Regions from separate parts of the Mus musculus genome. Here all the other regions are reported to be linked to region 5. The links are microRNA targets in miRTarBase. Many come from high-throughput screens and were not tested one by one. Region 5 holds a microRNA gene; each other region holds the end of a gene's coding sequence. Distances are between the middles of the regions.
The links. Region 5 holds the annotated microRNA mmu-miR-27b-3p (UUCACAGUGGCUAAGUUCUGC, at 2,600-2,620, shown strand). A microRNA usually pairs through its seed, bases 2 to 8, with sites in the 3' UTR of a target mRNA and lowers its output. Matches are read on the target gene's strand: a 7mer-m8 pairs with bases 2 to 8, a 7mer-A1 pairs with bases 2 to 7 and ends in A, and an 8mer does both.

Region 1 (4,000 bases), 6.6 Mb from region 5:
AGAATTACTTCAAGTTTGAGGCTGGCCTACATAGTAATTTCCAGGCCAGCCAGGACTGTACAAAGAGACTGTATCCCAAAACAAAATAACAAAGACTTTTAAAAAAGAAATAAAAAATAGTAATTTTTTTAGAGAATCTTTAGGAAGCAAAGAGACGGGACTTTTAAGAGACCAGTGAGTGACAGGGACCCAAGTGCTGCCAGGGAAGTGACCAGAGAAGGTTCGAGGATACTGAGCCAAGCCTCTCGGTGCTCTCTGTGGCAGAAGCACAAATGGCATTGCTGACAGGCGTGCCCTGGACCAGTAAGACTTCACTTCTTCATCTACTCTGTCCTCCCAATGGCGATACTGGCAGGGGATGGAAATGTTTCCCACAGTCCTCTCAGGCATAGGGAGACTGTGAGGTAACCCCAAGTGTTACTTGCACGGTTCATTTCATATTGCAGTGTTACTTTCATTCATACCCCCAAAGGGTGTTTAACTTGGTTGAAGTGTTATATTTAGCAATCTTACTACTGGTTTCATCTTAGAAACTCAGCCACATCTATGACTACTTTTCTTACACCTGCAACCGTGAAACATAGAAAAAAGGGGACACGGATTCCTACTCTGTTCTATTTGTTTGCTCTTTGACTTTTCTTTTTTTATTTTCCTCCAAGACAGTTTCTCTGTGTAGAAGTTGCTCTGTAGACTAGGCTAGCCCCTGCTTCCCGAGTGCTAGAATCAAAGGCATGTGCCACCATTACCCAGCTTTTGATACTTTAGAACTGACTTCCTCCTATAATTTTCTCTAGTTCTGGAAGGCCCACAGCACGCCTACTTACAGCCCTTAAGTTCAGTTGGGTGACATCAGTGAGGTCATCACGCTACGCTGAAGGTATACTAGTCAAATGTACCTCTTGGTCCTGCTTTTCCTAGGCAGCATCTTGTTGCTGTAATCCATCGCTGAGATTTTGATTCTTCCATTTACAACATTTATCAAACTGATGGCAATCTTTATTATTTGCAAATCTTTTTTCCCTGGCAGATACTAATGTATTTTGTATACTAAATACTTGGCAAAGTACATGCCTAGCACGCCTGAAGACTGAGGCTGATCCTTAGCACCACGGAAGCTGGGTATGATGGCGGATGTCTGTCATCCTAGCACTTCAGAGGGTAGAGAACTGAAGGCTACCCTCAGCAACTCAGCATGGTCAGGGTCAGTCTGGGCCCCATCAGAGCCATCTCTGACAAAGACTGTACCGGCACTGGTCTGGTCTGGTGGCTTCTTCAGAGGCCCTACTCCCTGCCCTCTGTGGTTCAGTGCACACTTGCTGTCTTCATCTCACTGTGAGTACTGCCTACCCACAGGCGTCTGTATATCCTTACATACAGTAAGGACAGTACAGGAGCAGGTAGACTACACAGTCTCCATTTACTGACCACAGAATAGGTTGGGATTTCTCCATGAACCTCAGAACAGCTCAGAGCTTCAGTCCTGCCACTGTACAGATGGCAGGCCACATAGGACTCTGCAAGTCCGAGACCTATGACATGAAGACTGTGGAGAGACAACATGTAACCCACTGCTGAAAAAAGGAGCAGGCAAGGCCCTTGTGTCCAGACTTCAGCAGAGCTCACAGACATACACTCACTCAACTCAAGACACGTTCTTACAAACCTGTTCCTGAAGGCTGCCAAGTAAAGGAACATGAACGGTTTCTGCCTCGGCTATAAAGCAGACATCTCTCTCATGGAGCTGACACACTCTTGCTATGGAATACTTATGTCTACAGCTCAAGCTACTGAAGGCTATCAAGGAGCCCTCTCTGAAGGAGCAAAGCCACCCAATGGTTGCACTCTGAAAGGCAATAAATAATGGCACAGAAAACAAAAGGAATCCCCCCCCCCAAAAAAAAAAATAGCTGTTTTCCTCATAAAGGCAGGAAGGGCACTCTAAAAAGTCAAACCAAAATTACATTTTCAGCAGAAGAACCAAGTGGCTCTGTATATTTTCAAAAGGCACCAGAAAAAAACCTTTCTCACTCTGATAGGCAAATGAGGCCTTTTTCTTTATCAAAGTAGTGTCTTCATTCTCAGGCCATGACTGTCCATCTCAGGCCATAACTGCTCCCTAGAAAGTGGTTAAGAGTCCTAAGGACAAGGCACAGTGAACTAGATGAGTGTCTTAAGAGTGTTCACATCCAACAGTGTTGTGGAGATTAGCGTCCATGTAGGTTCTAAAAGGATAAAAAGAAAGAGGCAGAGCGTTGATGCAGAGAGACAAGCCTACACTCTACATTGTCTTGCTATATGACATATGACATGAACTATCCCAATCCCTATTGTGATTCACTTACACCAACAGCCTCATTCTTGGGCCAACCAAAGAGCCTCTACTGGCTACACTGCACGAGTCCTTGTATGACAAGTCTGGTAAGGAGCAAAGGTATTCATACATACATAACCTTTCAATGTCAATAATGCTCATAACATTGTAGGGGACTAACAGGCACCTTAGCTGGAGCTATAGAAGAACAACATTATAAACTACATTGGAAATTAAAGGCTAGAAAAAGCAGCACAGCTCACAGCTGTCATCTCTAAGTGGTCGTGTTGCACAAAGGAGTGCCAAGGCAGCGAGGAGGAGCTCTAAAACCAGGCCACCTAATAGTATTTTACCAGAGGCTACACTAAGACAGTCACCCATAAAAGTGCAAAATGAAAAGATTAATGCACAGGAAAATTAGAGTTCTTGAATTGTTGGCCCAAAGCAGCAAACAATGCTGAACAAGGCCACAGAGCACATAGTAACTAACTGTTAAGTAGGACTTACAACAAATTTGAGTAAATGAGAAATACTTGAAGTTTTTAAAAAGGAATTGTTTTACAAAATATATATGGCATGAAGTCACATTACACTGATGAATATTACCTATATTAAATGTAAATGTATGACGTCCAGAAATCTACCACCTTGCTTTCACTGAACACGTTAGGACTGCAGTGTCCTTCAAACAAGATTCAACAGTTTCCTTTAAGCAAGCCCTACTTTGAGGTTTTGCAAACAATGTATGCTTTTTCAAAGGTGGTAAGGCAAAGAAATTCCCAGAGAAATATCATCTACTGCTTTCCACAATATATGTTCTCTTATAGGATAAAATTTCATTATGTGATGAACTACTTTGTAAAAAAAATTTAACAAATTAAAAAACGTTGGGACAATAAGAAAAAGTACGTTCCAGTTTAAGATCAATGCTAAACATTTCAACAGGGGCAAAATACTCTACATCGTTTACAATACTTTTGAAAGTTAATCACAATGAACACGAATACAAACAAATGTAATATCATCATAAAATACAAATGTGTTGGTCACAATTACGTAGAAAAAATAATATCTGTTTTCCATGTCAGCTCACAGCATCTGTACTGGAAATTCCTCTAAAATTAAAACAAGTCCACTAAAAATATAGTTGAAAGAATACTTCTGCACTATGAAACAGAAGAAATGGGGTTCAGCGGAGAGCCCATCTGAGTAAGGACTTTATCCAGCCACTGCAGAGGCCCGTGGAGGTGAATCTCAATCCAGCAGGGAGTACTGGTGACGTCCTGTCGGTGGTACTCTGCTCCCCAGCCCTGGAAATGAACAGGCAGCAAAGCAAATCGCTCTTGAACAGTCAACAGTCCACACTAACTTTAACAATAAAAAGCTTAACTGCAGAAACACATAAGACTTACTTAAACTACAGAAAACCAGTAAGCACTCACATATGGTATTAAAAGACACATCTGCAGTATTCAACTCTTCAACAAATAACAGAATTTCTCAGACACAGACCCATAGGACTAAGAACATGTTTAACTGTTACAAAAACTCCAGACTATGATCCTTCACAGCTAAATCATGCCGTGCTGTGATACATATTCTCACTGAGTAAATAAAGCCCACGCCCTCATGGGGCAGACTTGGGGGGCTCCTGTCCCTGCGTGTTTGTATCTGATGAGAGAGTATGGA
Region 2 (4,000 bases), not on the chromosome of region 5:
GGTTCATCTGCCCATTAGGAAGTTCTAGGGATGGGAGAAAGAACACGGCGTCAATTAACAAATCCACAAAGCTAAGACCTTGAAGCATTCTGTGAACTTGTAAACGCGCTCAGGCAACCATTGGACAATTTGTCTAGACTGCTCCTTGCCCACCTGAACTGCCCTGTTCCTCCCCTTCTGGACTCCTGCCGTCTTCCTCCAGAGCTACCTTTAAGGTTGTCCCATGTACTATCAAGGTGCTCTGTCAAAAGTTCTTAGGCTGCTTCTGGCACTCTCCAGAATTTTCCAAGACCTCCCCCCCACCATGATATCAGTCATCCGCGCCTTCTGGGTGGTTCTTCCTCCACACCCTTTGGGCACTTTGACTCCTGTGGGATATTCGTCCTTCCTTTTCCTTTAGCTTTCCTCACTTGCCAAGCTCCAACTTGGCCAGAAGCTCAAATGCCTCCACTGTGGTCTCTTCTCTGTGTCCCCTGGGAGACATCCTTAGCACGTCCCTAACTCTGCGGTGGTGGTCCCAACACGATTCAAGTGCTATGTCTTCCAAAACTGAAGCTTCCGGGAGCAGCAGCTGGGCCCTGCAGTGAGGACCTTTAGCTGGGTGTGTTGGGTGAGCCCACAGGATCGCTTTCTCCCGCTTGGCTGTACAGCGTCTCTCCCCTTGTGTTTTGGCAGTGCACGGCTGAAGAACAACAACAGACAAGTGTGCATTGACCCGAAATTAAAGTGGATCCAAGAGTACCTGGAGAAAGCTTTAAACAAGTAAGCACAACAGCCCAAAGGACTTTCCAGTAGACCCCCGAGGAAGGCTGACATCCGTGGGAGATGCAAGGGCAGTGGTGGGGAGGAGGGCCTGAACCCTGGCCAGGATGGCCGGCGGGACAGCACTGACTGGGGTCATGCTAAGGTTTGCCAGCATAAAGACACTCCGCCATAGCATATGGTACGATATTGCAGCTTATATTCATCCCTGCCCTCGCCCGTGCACAATGGAGCTTTTATAACTGGGGTTTTTCTAAGGAATTGTATTACCCTAACCAGTTAGCTTCATCCCCATTCTCCTCATCCTCATCTTCATTTTAAAAAGCAGTGATTACTTCAAGGGCTGTATTCAGTTTGCTTTGGAGCTTCTCTTTGCCCTGGGGCCTCTGGGCACAGTTATAGACGGTGGCTTTGCAGGGAGCCCTAGAGAGAAACCTTCCACCAGAGCAGAGTCCGAGGAACGCTGCAGGGCTTGTCCTGCAGGGGGCGCTCCTCGACAGATGCCTTGTCCTGAGTCAACACAAGATCCGGCAGAGGGAGGCTCCTTTATCCAGTTCAGTGCCAGGGTCGGGAAGCTTCCTTTAGAAGTGATCCCTGAAGCTGTGCTCAGAGACCCTTTCCTAGCCGTTCCTGCTCTCTGCTTGCCTCCAAACGCATGCTTCATCTGACTTCCGCTTCTCACCTCTGTAGCCTGACGGACCAATGCTGCAATGGAAGGGAGGAGAGTGATGTGGGGTGCCCCCTCCCTCTCTTCCCTTTGCTTTCCTCTCACTTGGGCCCTTTGTGAGATTTTTCTTTGGCCTCCTGTAGAATGGAGCCAGACCATCCTGGATAATGTGAGAACATGCCTAGATTTACCCACAAAACACAAGTCTGAGAATTAATCATAAACGGAAGTTTAAATGAGGATTTGGACTTTGGTAATTGTCCCTGAGTCCTATATATTTCAACAGTGGCTCTATGGGCTCTGATCGAATATCAGTGATGAAAATAATAATAATAATAATAATAACGAATAAGCCAGAATCTTGCCATGAAGCCACAGTGGGGATTCTGGGTTCCAATCAGAAATGGAGACAAGATAAAACTTGCATACATTCTTATGATCACAGACGGCCCTGGTGGTTTTTGGTAACTATTTACAAGGCATTTTTTTACATATATTTTTGTGCACTTTTTATGTTTCTTTGGAAGACAAATGTATTTCAGAATATATTTGTAGTCAATTCATATATTTGAAGTGGAGCCATAGTAATGCCAGTAGATATCTCTATGATCTTGAGCTACTGGCAACTTGTAAAGAAATATATATGACATATAAATGTATTGTAGCTTTCCGGTGTCAGCCACGGTGTATTTTTCCACTTGGAATGAAATTGTATCAACTGTGACATTATATGCACTAGCAATAAAATGCTAATTGTTTCATGCTGTAAACCTCCTACCGTATGTGGGAATTTATTTACCTGAAATAAAATCTACTAGTTGTTAGATGGAGTGCACATACATTTCTGAAGATGGAGAAAAACAGGTGTGCCTGCTGATCAGGTGCTGTGGGCTGCCCTGCAGTCCTGGTGAGCGACAGACACTGAGGCAGGCTTGTCTCATGAACAGGCTGCCTCTGCAGTGAAAGTTTTTGTGTATTTTTTTTAACCCAAGCTAGTTTTCTAATGAATAATACTTGACTCACTAATTTCCCCTCCTCCTCCTTCTCCTCAGTTCTCCTAACATCCTCATGTGATCCCCAGACTCAACTCCAGTAATATCAAGCTTTCCTATTTTCCCATGTAAAAAAATCCCATGACTCTGGGCCATGTTAATATCAGGCTTTTGTGGGAACAGGTGGCCTCACCCCATAAATCATTAAATACCATTCAGCTTGAATCATTTTAATGTGACAGTCACAAACCAGTTGCTCTAATAAAAACTCTGCTAACCATCCTTCTCCTTAGCTCTCTAGAACAATCTCAGTTATCCCTAGGGATGCTCCCCAGCATCCAGAAAAGAGAAGTGGGATCAATCATCCTGCCTTTCTCCCCCTCCTCTCTTGGAGGGCTGCCTGAGCCCGTGGCCTCCACCTCCCCTGCTTTGTATAATTTGAAATGCAGATTTGTAGTGAAGGCAGAGTTCACCTCTGCATTGAAAGGGAAGGCAGGCCCAGAGCTTCCTTCCCTGCCCTCTGAGATGTGCATTTATGTCTCAGGATGGATGAGCTTTGGTAGGAATGCTCAAAACCAGGACCAGCCAGACAAACTGGCAGTCCCTGTAAGCGGTTCCCGGGTCATAGGGTTAGGGCACCCCTGTTTAACTTTGGGGTGGGGAAAGTATCTGGTTTTCTTTGATAAATTGCTTGTGAACCACATTTGCCAAGTGGCCTCCAGGCCTCAAACTCAAAGACCGAGCTAAATCGACTCGGAAGGCAATGCTGAATGAAGATTGTGGGAACTGAGATAGATACACTCCTCTATGTTGCAATGTGATTAATGGTTCTACTAATTTTATCTAAGGGGGCGCAGAGAAGAAAAAGTGGGGAAAAAAGAAAAGATAGGAAAAAAGAAGCGACAGAAGAAGAGAAAGGCTGCCCAGAAAAGGAAAAACTAGTTCCCCGCTTCCTGCCGATGGACCGCAGTGCGCTCTGCTCTGGCGCTTTGTAACTCGCTCCTCCCTCTTCGGGGGCAGACCCCACACTCCGGGCAGGTGCTCAAACCTGACGGTAAACTCTTCCCTCTTCGGGGGCAGACCCCATACCCCGGGGCGGGTGCTTAGGCTTTCCTGCCCTGGTGGCCACACCAGCTGCTGTATTTATGTGCTTCATAAGGCCCTGCTCTGTCTGCTAAAGCTATGAAGAAAGATGTGCAGAGACTGGGGTGGAGACTAAGCCAAAGAGGAGCTGCCTAGCCTGGCAGCATTGCCCCGAGCTGAGCCCCCTTGGCCAGGACTTCACAAGGCTCACACCTACAATCCCATGAAGGCCAGGGTGGTCTGCTTAGCCAGGAAAGGGCAAGTGCCTTCCCCTCGGCCACACTGCCCCTTGTGGCCTTCTCGGGACATGTGGTAACTGACTTGCTCTCAGGCCCACCCGCAGCTTTTCCAAATACCTGCAGCCTTCAGCCCTGCTGCCCTGCCTGTGGGAGCAGCTTTGACTCCAGTCCAGAAGGGTTTCTGCAGACTGTGTTGGGTGAGACGCAGAAAGGATGAAATCTCAGAACACATGTCAGCTGCTTCTCAGGAAATCTTT
Region 3 (4,000 bases), not on the chromosome of region 5:
CCCAGAGTAGTGGGGGAGGGGAGAGCTCCGCCCAGGGCCTGCTCCTCCATAATGGCCAAGCCCCCAAGGCTCTGCACAAAGCTGGGTTCTTGTGACTATAGGACATAATGATCACTGCAGAGAATAAGCCAAATGTGGGTGTGCATGGGCTCTCAGGTCCCTGCTGCCCGCCTGCCTGCTCTTGCCTTAATGTTCCCTTCCCTTTCCCACAGAGCTAGAGCGAGGAGGTGGGTACTGAGCACACTGGGCAATGAGCCACACTCCCCCTGACACTTCTCTGCCTTCCATGCAGTTTGGACTGTGGGCCTCCTGGCTGGCCTGGCTGGCGATCACCACTCTGGCTTTCCTGAAGGTTTATCACAACTACCGCCAGGAGGACCTGTTGGACAGCCTGGTTCACGAGAAGGAGCTTCTGCTAGCCAGGCCTACCTCCCGCACCTCCTTCCAGGGGGAGAAGAGTGCTGTCATCTAGGCTGTGCAAGGGTGGCCCCCTTTCCTGAGGCCTGCATGGGGAGGGGGCGCTGGGGACCCATCCAGGCTGGCCAACACAGCTCTGCATGTGTCTCTTGGCCCCGCCCACCGTGAGCAGGGCACCTGAGTTCCCATGGAGAGCCTGACAGTGATGGGGCAGAGATCCAGAGACTTGGGGAGGGGGTGACTTCCAGCTTCCAGTCCTGGCCTTTGACGCATACTCCTTCACCCGTGTGACCCTTTGTCTATATATGTGCATGCATGTGAGCATGTGTGTGGATGGGGGTGTGAGTGCAGAACCGAGGTGCCGTCGCCGCCAGGTTAGCAGCCTTTGCACCACCACAGGCTCCAGCGCACGTGGTCCCTGCCCCTTCCATAAGGGGCTGACTTCCCATCCTATAGCACTCAGCCAAGGTTCTCAGAAGGCACTGGAGAAGGCAGCGGGCAGAGGATCCTGGTAGGAATGTGGGACCCTGGGCTGGGCTCCATCCCCTGCTCTGAGAGGCCATCCTGGGCTGCTTGGCTGTCATGGGAGAGTTCCACTCTCCTCCCTTTGAGGCTTTCTAGGTGGCATGGTTCTCTGTGTTGCAAGGGTGAGGCCCCCATGGCCGAAGAGGCCCCGCCCATCTGGATCTCAGTGAGTGCGTTCAATGTTGCTGGCCCTAGTCTGCAGTTGTGCTGCAACGCTGTCCCCAATTTTCAAGCAAGGTGATCCTGACCTGTGTCTGAGGCCAGTGTCCATCTGTGGCTGGTGTGTTTCCAGGTGGAAGGCACAAGCTTCCAGGCTCACTGTGAGGAGCCTTTGTGTGTGTGTGTGTGTGTCAGTTGGGCCCTAAAAATTGAAGCCAGCAAGGATGGTCAGGGTGCTGTGCAAGGGGGTGCCTGTCTGAGGAGGTCAGGGTTGGGCCGACCGACACTCCAGTCTTCTCTGAGGGCTTTGGCCTTGATGAGCTCCCAGAAGAGGATCTGGTCTCCAAACTGACCTGGTCTCTTCTCCACACCCTCACACAAGCCCTAATCTATGGGACATGGCGACACTGCCTAGCCTTGAGAATCCTCTGTTTTCCCAGGATTGGCTCCTTCCTCATCTGCCTCATATCCTTACTAAGGCTGTAGCCCTCTAGGACCTGAAGGAACAGGAGGCTGGATGGGGCCTCTGGGACCTAGGATCTGCCTCAGGTGTGGGTCTACCTTGGCAGCTGCCTCTTTTGGATTCTGGAGAGTTAGTCTGGGATGCCTAGACTTGTCCCCCAGATGTTGGTGTTCCAGGGACTCCTGGGGAAGGGCCTCTGGGCCTAGGAGTGTTGGCAGGACCTGTTGGCTGAAGCCATGGGCAGGGGTGTCTGTCCAAGAGAGGTCTTATGGAATGGATGGCAAGAGACAGGCAGAGGCTGCAGAGAGGTCCCCAGGTTGCCTGCCAGACATCTCTGCTCCTTTCCAGCTTGCTACAGGGAAGCCCTGGTTTCAGTCTTCCTGGAGAAGCTGGTAGTGATGGTAGTGATGCCTCCGTGTGTCTGATCCTCAAGTCAAAATAAAATAAAGACGAAACATCTGAGATGCTGTGTGGATGAGGAGTCTGTGTCTTTGCTAGCCAGCCAGTCCACTCCAGGCCCCCCCACCTCCAGTCTCCACCCCTCCCCACTTGCTCTCAGGCTTAACCAGTCTGACTCCAGGGCTCATGGGGTGGACCTTCATGTCTGTGCATTGTAAGGAGTTTGACTCTTGCAGCTCCCCCCACCATTCCTACGCCCCACCCCACCCCCACCCTGGGCATGAGGATGGGTTTTGGTGACAGCTCTGGGGCACATGCATCTCTGTGTATGTCCTTGAACATTTATTCTAAGACAAAATAAGGCTGGGGAATGTAGCAGTGGCAGACTCTTGGCCTTGCTATGTTGGGTTTGCACCATAAAAAAATGAAACAAAGCAAAGCGAAACCCAAAAAAAAAAAAAAAACCCGAGCTGGGGCTGTTTTGTGGCCCTTACAGAGTGAGTGGGCGAGGCACACTTTTTCTGTGACCTTTGCAGCAAATGCTGGCTATAAGGTGGGAAGCCCTGGCTCTCCATTGTAAAACATGGGGTGAACACTCCCCCTCCTGAAGGGCATCCACCCTCAGAAGCAGGGATGGAAGAGTGGTCTGGAGGTCTGTCATCTCGCCTCTAAGTGTCTGTTTCCATATCTGGAATACAAGCCAGTCAATAATGAGCCTGTCTTTGACCAGGGCAGGATGAGATGGAGCTGGACTGGTGCAGGCAACAGTAACCATGGTGATAGCCAGTCCTGGTGAGTTGCTTTCCAGACTGGTCCTTTTTAGACCACTTCTAGACGCCTTCTAGAGAAGGGTTTTGCTCCACTGGGCTCACACCTACTGTGCTCTCAAATTCTGCATCTGGAGACCACTGTGCAGGGCACCGGAAGGCCAGAGAGGGGCAGATTGCACCTCAGTGATCTGAGAAGCTTGGCATGTCTTGCTGGGGAGGATGTGGTCCTGGGTGCATGGTGGGTCCCCTGACTTCTTGTGGATGACAGCTGCAAGGCACCTGTAGGCTGTGGGGGCGAGTGAGTGGAGGGGTGGGAGTGTGCTCTGGCACCTAGATGAACATGCTTGGACCCGGAGGGATTCTTCCACAGTGTCTCCCTCTGTTTATTTTGCAATCATCCCGAGGTTGAAGAGGCTGCAGGTATTTTAATATGGGGTCCCTGTCTGCCCACCTAAGTAGAGGGGTACCTTAGGACTACCCCCAGTCTTATCCTGGCTCCCAAACCCTGCTCATTTGTTTGTTCCAGGGTGGTACAGGGTCCCCCTTGCGGATCCTCCTGGTGTCCGACTGGGCCTCCCCGCTGAGCTCAGGGCTCCCCCTCCAGGCGGGTCTGGGATGCTCTGAAGCGGTTGCTACACGCTGGTGCTCGCTTCCCCTTGCCTTTCAACATGAGTGACAGAACAGTGTACACAGATGTTCAGGACACTCACAGGGCCTGCAGCTGGTGGGCAGGCCCGATGGCTTTGGGCCTGTGTGTGGCCCCGGAAGAAGACCCTCGGTGCCACACTCCTGTTCTGAGAGCAACTGTGTTCAGAGCTGGACTCTGTTCCCACACCACAGTGACCCCTGACGGATCACTGCGCATGAAGTGGAGGAATTCAGACCTGGGCTCAGAGAAAAGGACAATTCTCATGGGCTCCATGAACTGGAGCGAGAGAGGCACCCTGTCTCGTGATGGTGTGGCAAAAGCTGGGCCCAGCCCTCAAAGCAGCAGGAGATTGGGGCTCGCCTTCCCAAACGCACCCTCAAAGAGCTATGTACGGTAACATCCAGGCTATGGCTCCCAAGACAGAGGACTGGGCAGGAACATAGGAATTCCCGGCTATAATGGTCGAGTTCTTTCTCTGATTCAGTCTTAAAATCCCAAGATCCCAGCCCGTGCTGACTGGAGTAGGAGGTGCCTGTAGCATCGAGCCAGAACCTCCCTCCTTTCCCATTTAAAGGTTGATAGCAACCTCTTAGAGTTCCTGGGTTTGTCAAGCATTGG
Region 4 (4,000 bases), not on the chromosome of region 5:
TCCTAGGACTCTATGTGTTTGGAGAAGTCTCTTTACTAATAAATAATTGAAAGCTTTCTGAAACTTTGGGTTGTTTTTACTAGTTGTTACTTTTAGTGACTATGATTCAAAAAAATTATAATTAAGTAAAGCTCTTTGTAGATAGAAATTTAATTCACTGTCGAAAGTCATAATAAAATGGTGTAATATTAAAATATTGCCCTTGCTAAGCTAGCTGCAGAATTTAAGAACCTGTTAGAGAGCTGATTATTCTTTATTATTTAACAAAAATTCTAAAGCAATATAAAGATAAGGCTGGAGCTTAAGGAAGCTAGAAGACTAATGGAGCCAGAAATTTCGGGCCTTTCTGCTCAGTCATCCCGTGAGGAGAATGAGTGCTGCTGGTACTCGGATAAAGCCTAGACCCACTGCAGATTACACACCACTGAATGGAGAGCCACCCTCCATGGTCCCACTTAAAAGTGTTTTGTGGGGGTTGAGTACTAAGTAACTTAAAAGCTCTCAACAGCTAACTTGAATGAGAAGTTGTAAGTGTCCCCTTTTAAAATTCCTTTCTTTCCTCCAGGCTATCCTACCTACAAAGAAAAAGTAAAGAAAAGGCCAGGGGGCCGTCCAGAAGTCATTTACAATTATGTCCAAAGACCCTTCATTCGAATGTCCTGGGAGAAGGAGGAAGGAAAGAGTCGGCATGTAGACTTTCAGTGTGTAAAGAGTAAATCCATTACCAATCTGGCAGCAGCTGCTGCAGACATTCCCCAGGACCAGCTAGTAGTCATGCACCCTACTCCACAGGTGGACGAGCTGGATATCCTTCCCAGCCACCCTGCCTCGGGCAACAATGACCTCGATCCTGATGCACAGAATCCAATGCTGTGATGCTGATGTTCCTGAAACCATAGCATGCTACTCTTCACAGTGACGTCGTACTCCTCCTTCTGCACTGCGAGGCCACTTTTCTTCATTGTGAGATGCACATGTTTAGGATACTGCAGTGTAGGCTTTTTTAAAGACCAAAGGTAGCTGAATGGTTTTTTAATGAGTACAACTTTAGCATCCTCGTTCGAGTTCTATAAATGTATTTGTTTACCAGTAGGTTTGTGAAATTGGTTCTTTGTATGGGGACAGTCCTTTTTCACATATCTAGGTTTTCTCAGAAGTGGTGGGAATTTGGCAGCTGGGGTACTTTAAGTGTAGATTGATATTTATCTTGCCTCAGGTAAGATGAATATTACAAAGTTGCACTTTATAGATGGTGGTTAAATGGAGCTGTTGAAGCCATTTTAGAGCTGTGATGCACAGTATAACATAAGTGCTTCTATCAGAGTATTCCTCAGTACAGTATGTATAGTTGGCCCACATCAAGCAAAAACATATTTATCTTGGGTTTATTTAAACAATTAGGATAAAATTTGATGCTTATAGTGTTGGTTCACTCATCTCCAGAGCCCTGCAGCCCTATTAGAGTGAGTCACATGCAGGGAGGGTGAACGTCAAGAGGTGGTTTACTGTCCAGTCTGCCTTATCCTTAATCTGTTCATATATTTATTTACTAATGCTTTTTTCTTAAGAGTTATGGGATAGAAAAACAAACTGTTTGCTCTTCATTTACTAAATGATTGTAAACTCGAGTTTTTCATCAAAATAAAATTTCATTGTTTTAATGTTTCTGACCAACTTTATGAACACCTTGGCTAGATTCTGTGTCATATATGTTATGTATAACTAGAAATCAAATGACAGTTTTTTTTTTTTTTTTTTTTTTTTTTTTTGGTTTTTCGAGACAGGGTTTCTCTGTATAGCCCTGGCTGTCCTGGAGCTCACTTTGTAGACCAGGCTGGCCTCGAACTCAGAAATACGCCTGCCTCTGCCTCCCGAGTGCTGGGATTAAAGGCGTGCGCCACCACGCCCGGCTCAAATGACAGTTTTAAAAGCGCTTTGGTATATTTGCAAGAGGCACTTAGATTTCCTATAAGTTCAGGAAAAATGCTATAAATCCAAAGCAGTTGATCAAGATTTTCAGGATATGAAAATGGAATGACGCCTGTATTAGGAACCCTAACTTTCAGAACTAGTTTCTAATTAATTCAATATTCTTTCCATCAAATACTCTAAATATTTCATGGTTTACAACAAAGATTCATATTTTAAGTGCTTTGGGTCTTAGATCACTTAACTCTTTGTAGCCATACAAATAGTCCAGGACTGCCCTCTGAGCCACAGAATTGCCATCTTGGAGTGCTCAGCTGTGCCTGTTTGCAAAAGAACACTCGATAGGCTTTTTGACTGTTTATATCCCCCCAAGGAGATGTGGAGACAATCACAAGACCTTCCTCACCTGCGTGTCCAGCTGTTCCGCCTCCAGTTCTATACAACTCTGCCTTTAACTGGGCATGGCCTTGGAGGGAATAAGAATATATAAGGCTGGGGAAGATGAGGAAAAGGTTAAGGCTCCATCTGGATGCCTATGGGAAACCTGTTTTCTCAGCTGGGTAAAGGCTTTCTTTTTTTTTTTTTTTTTTAATTTATTATTAAATGTAAGTACACTGTAGCTGTCTTCAGACACACCAGAAGAGGGCACCAGATCTCATTACGGATGGTTGTGAGCCTCCATGTGGTTGCTGGGATTTGAATTCAGGACCTTCAGAAGAGCAGTCAGTGCTCTTAACTGCTGAGCCATCTCTCCAGCCCCAGTAAAGGCTTTCTAGTGTGGCCTTTGAGTAGGAGCATACCTGTAGGGAACCTCTCGCCTGTGTCTGTATGGAAGCCCAGTAAACCAACCCATTGGTTTCCAGAGTGAACTTTAGTTTGGTGGGATCACATCTCAGTTTGTCGATGGGACCATAGAAAGAGAGCAGATGCCGTCGCTTACATCTACCCCTGGTAGACTTGAGCACACCATGTAACTGCAGGTCTAGAGAAGCCAGCTTGTAATCTTGAAATCTAAGCACTGGAAATTGGAGTTGATATCTTTGTTTTCATATAAGTTGAGGTGGCTACAGTTTGGAAGTGAGCTATTTTTATAATATGTCTAAGCTGGTAGCATGGAAGAAGTCATTATAAGAGCAAAAGGACATTGTAAACATAACAGCAGGAATGTGTTTAGACCGCTGGTGAAGTGGATGAACCAGCCCTGTAGCATATGAAGATTTTCTTCCTAATTATCAATTGGGAACAGTACTTATAGAACAAGGGAAACATTTATTAAAAATATTTAACTGTCTAATACATTATACTTTAACCCATATTTATAGTAAAGGATTCTTACAAGGAAGAATAAACAGCTTTATGATACAATTAGTATAAGAAATATCCACATGGGGGACTTCTTTGTAGTGTAAAAACACCATACATCTGAAATGACCATTTTGCATATAAAAGCTACCAATGATGCTTCTGTGCACAATGATTAAAAAATTCAACACAAACAAAATCCAAAATATACAATTAATGCAAGCTATCCACAGCTAGCCCAAACTCAATGATGAGGAAACACTGGAGCAGGTTTAGTTCCACTTTGTCTGAAGTTACACATGGTAGATTGACTTGTATCAATGGCTCTGAGGTGGCTTTTATGGAGTCAGTACATAAAAGCTGTTCTCTCTCTATCCAGTAAGCTTCACAGACTGTAAAACTTCACCATTAATGCACTTTGATACTGCAGCTGTTGCCAAAGCAAATGTAGTGTCTACAGCGGCCATGGCAAGTCACTAAAGTCAACGGGGCCACCCAGCCCCGCATCTGCTTCCAAGAGGCTCATGATGACAGCCATTGCTGCCTCATCGTTACTGGGACTACTTGATCCTTGGTCGTTATCTATCATATCGATGCCTATGTGGGGGTTCTCACCTGTGGAAGGAAGAAAGGACTGTCAGTAAGGAATAACAAAGCATACTTATATTTGGAAAGCAACTTCTCAACACACCAATAAGGACGTTTATTTAACAAGAGCAAGGGGTTATTTGGGGGATTCCATTGCCATAACTTTTCATTGTTACTACCC
Region 5 (4,150 bases):
CTGTGGCCTGTTAGGTGATGGACTTTGTAAGCAAGCTCATGCCAGCTACCCTTTAGGATGCACTGGCCTGACAGACAAGGTTTTCCATGGTGACCATTTTGAGAGCTCTCTGCCTCTGCCCAGTGTATTCCTGACAATAGCCATCTTGGGATAGCTTGCTACTCGGGCACCGGAGTCGGTTGACAGAATCAATAGAATTCTGTATTTCTGTTGTTTTTTGAGACAAGGTGTCATTGTGTGACTCTGTGTGGCTTAGAACTTGCTATGTAGACCAGGCTGGCCTTGAATTCACAAAGATCGTCCTATTCTTCCTCCCAGTGCTGAGATTAAAGGCCTGTGCTACCATGTTCAGCTTCCATAGAGTGTTGATAAGGACAATGGAGACAGAGTAGAAGGTGCAAGCTTCAGTTGGTCACCTGCACGGCAGCAGGCTCTCTCTCTGTCCTTTGTGCTTTTAGACCAGCTTGTGTAAAGCAATACAAACAAGTCCCCATAAACATGTGCAGCCTCTTACCCCTTTCCCATTCTTCTCTGGCCTTCACGGTCTGCAGGCCATGGGCATATACCTGTATGGGGAGCTGATGGTGAGTGAGGACGCCAGGCTGCAGCAGCTAGCCCACAGGTGCTTTGAGCTGGTGAAGGAACACATGGACAGAGCATCGGCCCAGGTGGTGACTGAAATGCTGTTCTAAAGAGGTAATTCTCTTTTCTTTCTTCTAACCATCCATGTCAATTGGTAAGCCACATGATGAGCCACAGCACCAGAGGGCTGCCAAACGGTCTTGGGGAGGAAGCAGCAAGGTGGGTCCTCAGGAACAGGAAGAAGGCTCAGGATCTCTGGAGCACCTCACCTGCTGGAAGCATGGGTGTGAAGCAGGTACAGCTGAAGGAGCAACAGATCTGGCACTGCTTTAGCCACCCTGGATTTTGCACAGGTCCACAGGCTCCAGGGTCAAGGTCAACACAGCGGTCCATGGCCTCATTGCTCCAGGCTTCAGCATGCAGGCATCTCTCCTAGAGGCTGTGTAAACCTGAGACTCCTTGGCCTCTGGTTCTCTGACCTGTAGAGTAGGCAGCAGGTCTTCTCTGCCCCTCCATCCAAGTGACACTTGCGTCCTAAAGGCAAGTCTGTTTCCATCTCGTGCTGGAACAGGATTTACGCTGGCTCCCAGAGTCCTTGGCTGTGGTGTAACTTGCCTCCTCTGTAGCCAGCTTGTGGACCAGTAATGCAGTTCAGCCACAGGGCGTGGAGTTCTGAGACAGGTGTGGGCTAGTGCGTCTCTTTCATAGTCGCCAGTCATCATCTCTACATCATCCCAGGACATTATCGCTTGCCATGGTGGTACATATGATGTTTACTTTTGTATATGTTTGAAATTTTACATCAATCACTGTGTTACTCTGTTGTTCTCTATGATTACCAATTAATGAATATTTAGAATTGTGTTGCTAATCTTAACCCATTGTCAGACATTAAATTTACATTTTCACATTTCACTTTTATAAAACCCACTTCTGTGTAATGTTTATTTTTCTGAAGAACTACACTGATGAAGGGAAAACATGTTACTATGTATGACCATGTTGTTGCAGAAGAGCTGGGGACCGCCACAGTCAAGCAGGGGAGATAGTGGGCTGGAGTAAGCAGGTACAGCCTGCTAAGCCTGCACACTACAAGCTAGGACGGTGGCCTGTGTGGATAGACAGAGTCGGTCGGGGCGCCTCTTCACTGCCTCCTGCAGACATTTCTCTAGAAACTTGTAAGCTGAGGGATTGTTGGTATGTGGTGTGTGAAGGTCACACAGTAAAGCCACTGTTCCCTTTTTAGGTCCCTAGGCCTTCACTTAGGAAAGCCATAGTCACATAGTGGTCCTAGTGACTCTTCTAAGAGTATTTTTGCCCCCTGAGTGAGCAAATCCTCAACTTGCTAGGTCCCCTATGAGCTCTGTGCTATGCCTCAGCTTATCCAACCAAATGCTTGGTCACAGGCAAGCCAGAGAGATGCTCCCTCCCTACACACCACACCTGCTGTCTGAGGGGCCCAGAGACATCCCAACCCATTCAGTCTGCAATTGGAGAACAGGGTGTGTCCCAGGGTTAAAGGCCACATACTCAGAGCAAGGATGGTCCCTAAGGTATTGGTCTCATAGCTGATAAGTGTGTCCTTTGTCTCCCAGTCCCCTATGCTCCTCTATACAGTGCAGCCAGCGCGCTGAAGGACAGCAGGCTGCACTGCTAGCGTGGTGGGCTCAGAGGCGGTTTGGAGGACACTCAGCACATGTGGATGGGAGTGGTTGGGCATGGTGCTGCCCTCACCTGCTCTGGCTGCTTGGGTTCCTGGCATGCTGATTTGTGACTTGAGATTAAAATCACATTGCCAGGGATTACCACGCAACCATGACCTTGGCTGCTCCTGCAGAACCGTGGCTACTTTCTCTCTGCAGTTTGGAGAACAGAGGCGCCTTGTGGCTCTTTGGAAACAAAAGAAGCCAACAGCCTTCGAAGATGCTCACCAGCCCTTTAATTATGGCCGGCGATGACCTCTCTAACAAGGTGCAGAGCTTAGCTGATTGGTGAACAGTGATTGGTTTCCGCTTTGTTCACAGTGGCTAAGTTCTGCACCTGAAGAGAAGGTGAGATGGGGACAGTTAACTTGCAGCTGCCAGGCAGAGGCCACTGCCTGGTGGTCACTCCAGAGGAGGAGAGACCAGCCTGCCTCAAGGCTGTGTTGTCAAGAGTGCAAACAGCGTGCTGACCACCCTTAAGTGTGTCTACAGAAAATACAGTTCTACTGCTAATTAGTTCACTGTAATGTCAAGTGTATTGGGAGTCACAGAAAACTAAACCCAGGTGCATCAAGGAAACTGAGCCAACCTTGTCTCAGCTGATGCCACACGTGATGGGTGGGGGTGTGGTTCTTTGTCCCTGCTGGGCGTGGTGAACTCTTTCTTGTATTTGCAGTCCAGGTCTCCATGTCTCCACAGTCGCTGGCAAGATGATGCCCAGGGCACGCCAGGAGGCACTGCCCAGCTGTGATTGGACCCGCCCTCCGGTGCCTACTGAGCTGATATCAGTTCTCATTTCACACACTGGCTCAGTTCAGCAGGAACAGGAGTCGAGCCCTTGAGCAAAAAGCCTACCCATCTGTAAGTGCCTGAGGCAGGCCTCCCACGGAGAAGAAGATGAAGGGCCTGAGTGTCTGGTACCAGACCCAACAGCAGTGGTATCCCTCTGTATGTGCTCCCGAGGTGGGGATTTGTAGAGTGCAGAGCTAACCTTGGAAAGTTTGCATTCCCTAGAAGCAGGTAGGGCAGGCGCTGAGCATTTGCCACGTGTTGGGGCAGAGCACACCATGTCACCGCTGCCTTGAGCAGTGAGAATGCCTGTCTGAAGGGCCTTGTCTGTAGAGCCTTTCTGAACCTCTCTGGGCTTCACAGCCCTGCATGGCCTGTGCCGTGACTGTGCACCCCAGACCCAGGATTGTGAGGTGTGGCTTCAGTGTTGCCCCTGTCCTCCCATGAAAAGTTCCCTCTCAAGTGGAGGTCAGAGGCTGGGAGGACTCCTGTTGGAATGGCTGTGGTGACTGGGTAATAAATTTTATTGCTGTTTCCTCCACAGGACAGATCACAGTGAGATTCTCATATACCTTCTCCTAGCCCTGGTGGGGCCAGGACTGCACTGACCCTGGACATCAAAGGGAGGATTATGTGGCTGCTAAGGCCATCAGCCCACAGCAGTGGTTGGTCCATCTTGGGCTTCCAGAGACTGGGCTCCCGTGGCATATATAAAAGGCGGAGCCTCATAAACTGTTGCACCTGGCAGCTGCCTTTGTTCCCAGTCCTAGAGAGACTGAGTCTACACACTGGAATTGAGCTGTGACTTTAAGGCAGTCATTCAATGAAGGACACCCTCCCCTAGGCAGATGGAGAGCCGGTTGCCTGCTTCCTGTGATTGCAAAAACTAGCTGCCATGCTCTGAGACTGCAGAATCATGTGACACCTCCTGTGGCTGGTCCCCAAGGATTCTGCAAAGCCCTTTTGATGTGTTCAGTCAACAGAGCATTCCTGTTTTTGAAAATGCAGGAAAGCCTAAAATGTCTTAATAAAGTACCAGATTTGCTAGTGTTCCAGTTTGCTTCTGAATTTGATGC

Region 1: the mRNA of Smad5 is a reported target of mmu-miR-27b-3p. The part of its 3' UTR that is shown has no 7-base or 8-base seed match.
Region 2: the mRNA of Cxcl12 is a reported target of mmu-miR-27b-3p. Seed matches in the 3' UTR shown: 7mer-m8 at 2,147-2,153.
Region 3: miRTarBase lists Tmem179 as a target of mmu-miR-27b-3p. Seed matches in the 3' UTR shown: 7mer-m8 at 1,260-1,266.
Region 4: the mRNA of Arntl is a reported target of mmu-miR-27b-3p. Seed matches in the 3' UTR shown: 7mer-A1 at 3,616-3,622.

The regions. Positions count from the first base shown.
Region 1 is chr13:56,736,956-56,740,955 of GRCm38, reverse strand. It overlaps Smad5 (SMAD family member 5), which reads right to left. Exons shown (of 7, transcript NM_008541.3): 7 at 1-3,621. The coding sequence ends at 3,478. Among named protein-coding and RNA genes, the nearest start is that of Gm45623, 15 kb to the left of the region's middle.
Region 2 is chr6:117,172,817-117,176,816 of GRCm38, forward strand. Cxcl12 (chemokine (C-X-C motif) ligand 12) reads left to right here. Exons shown (of 3, transcript NM_021704.3): 3 at 676-2,253. The coding sequence ends at 766. Among named protein-coding and RNA genes, the nearest start is that of Cxcl12, 6.3 kb to the left of the region's middle.
Region 3 is chr12:112,498,215-112,502,214 of GRCm38, reverse strand. Tmem179 (transmembrane protein 179) reads left to right here. Exons shown (of 4, transcript NM_178915.3): 4 at 293-2,031. The coding sequence ends at 472. A530016L24Rik (RIKEN cDNA A530016L24 gene) reads right to left here. Exons shown (of 5, transcript NM_177039.4): 5 at 2,288-4,000. Among named protein-coding and RNA genes, the nearest start is that of A530016L24Rik, 11 kb to the right of the region's middle.
Region 4 is chr7:113,313,305-113,317,304 of GRCm38, reverse strand. Arntl (aryl hydrocarbon receptor nuclear translocator-like) reads right to left here. Exons shown (of 20, transcript NM_007489.4): 20 at 3,179-3,846. The coding sequence ends at 3,686. It overlaps Btbd10 (BTB (POZ) domain containing 10), which reads left to right. Exons shown (of 11, transcript NM_133700.2): 11 at 566-1,661. The coding sequence ends at 876. Among named protein-coding and RNA genes, the nearest start is that of Gm33721, 54 kb to the right of the region's middle.
Region 5 is chr13:63,298,161-63,302,310 of GRCm38, forward strand. Mir27b (microRNA 27b) reads left to right here and starts at 2,552; the gene lies at 2,552-2,624. Aopep (aminopeptidase O) reads left to right here. Exons shown (of 16, transcript NM_001289926.1): 16 at 552-4,150. The coding sequence ends at 692. It overlaps Mir23b (microRNA 23b), which reads left to right and starts at 2,324; the gene lies at 2,324-2,397. Mir3074-1 (microRNA 3074-1) reads right to left here and starts at 3,123; the gene lies at 3,039-3,123. It also overlaps Mir24-1 and a transcript of Fancc not described here.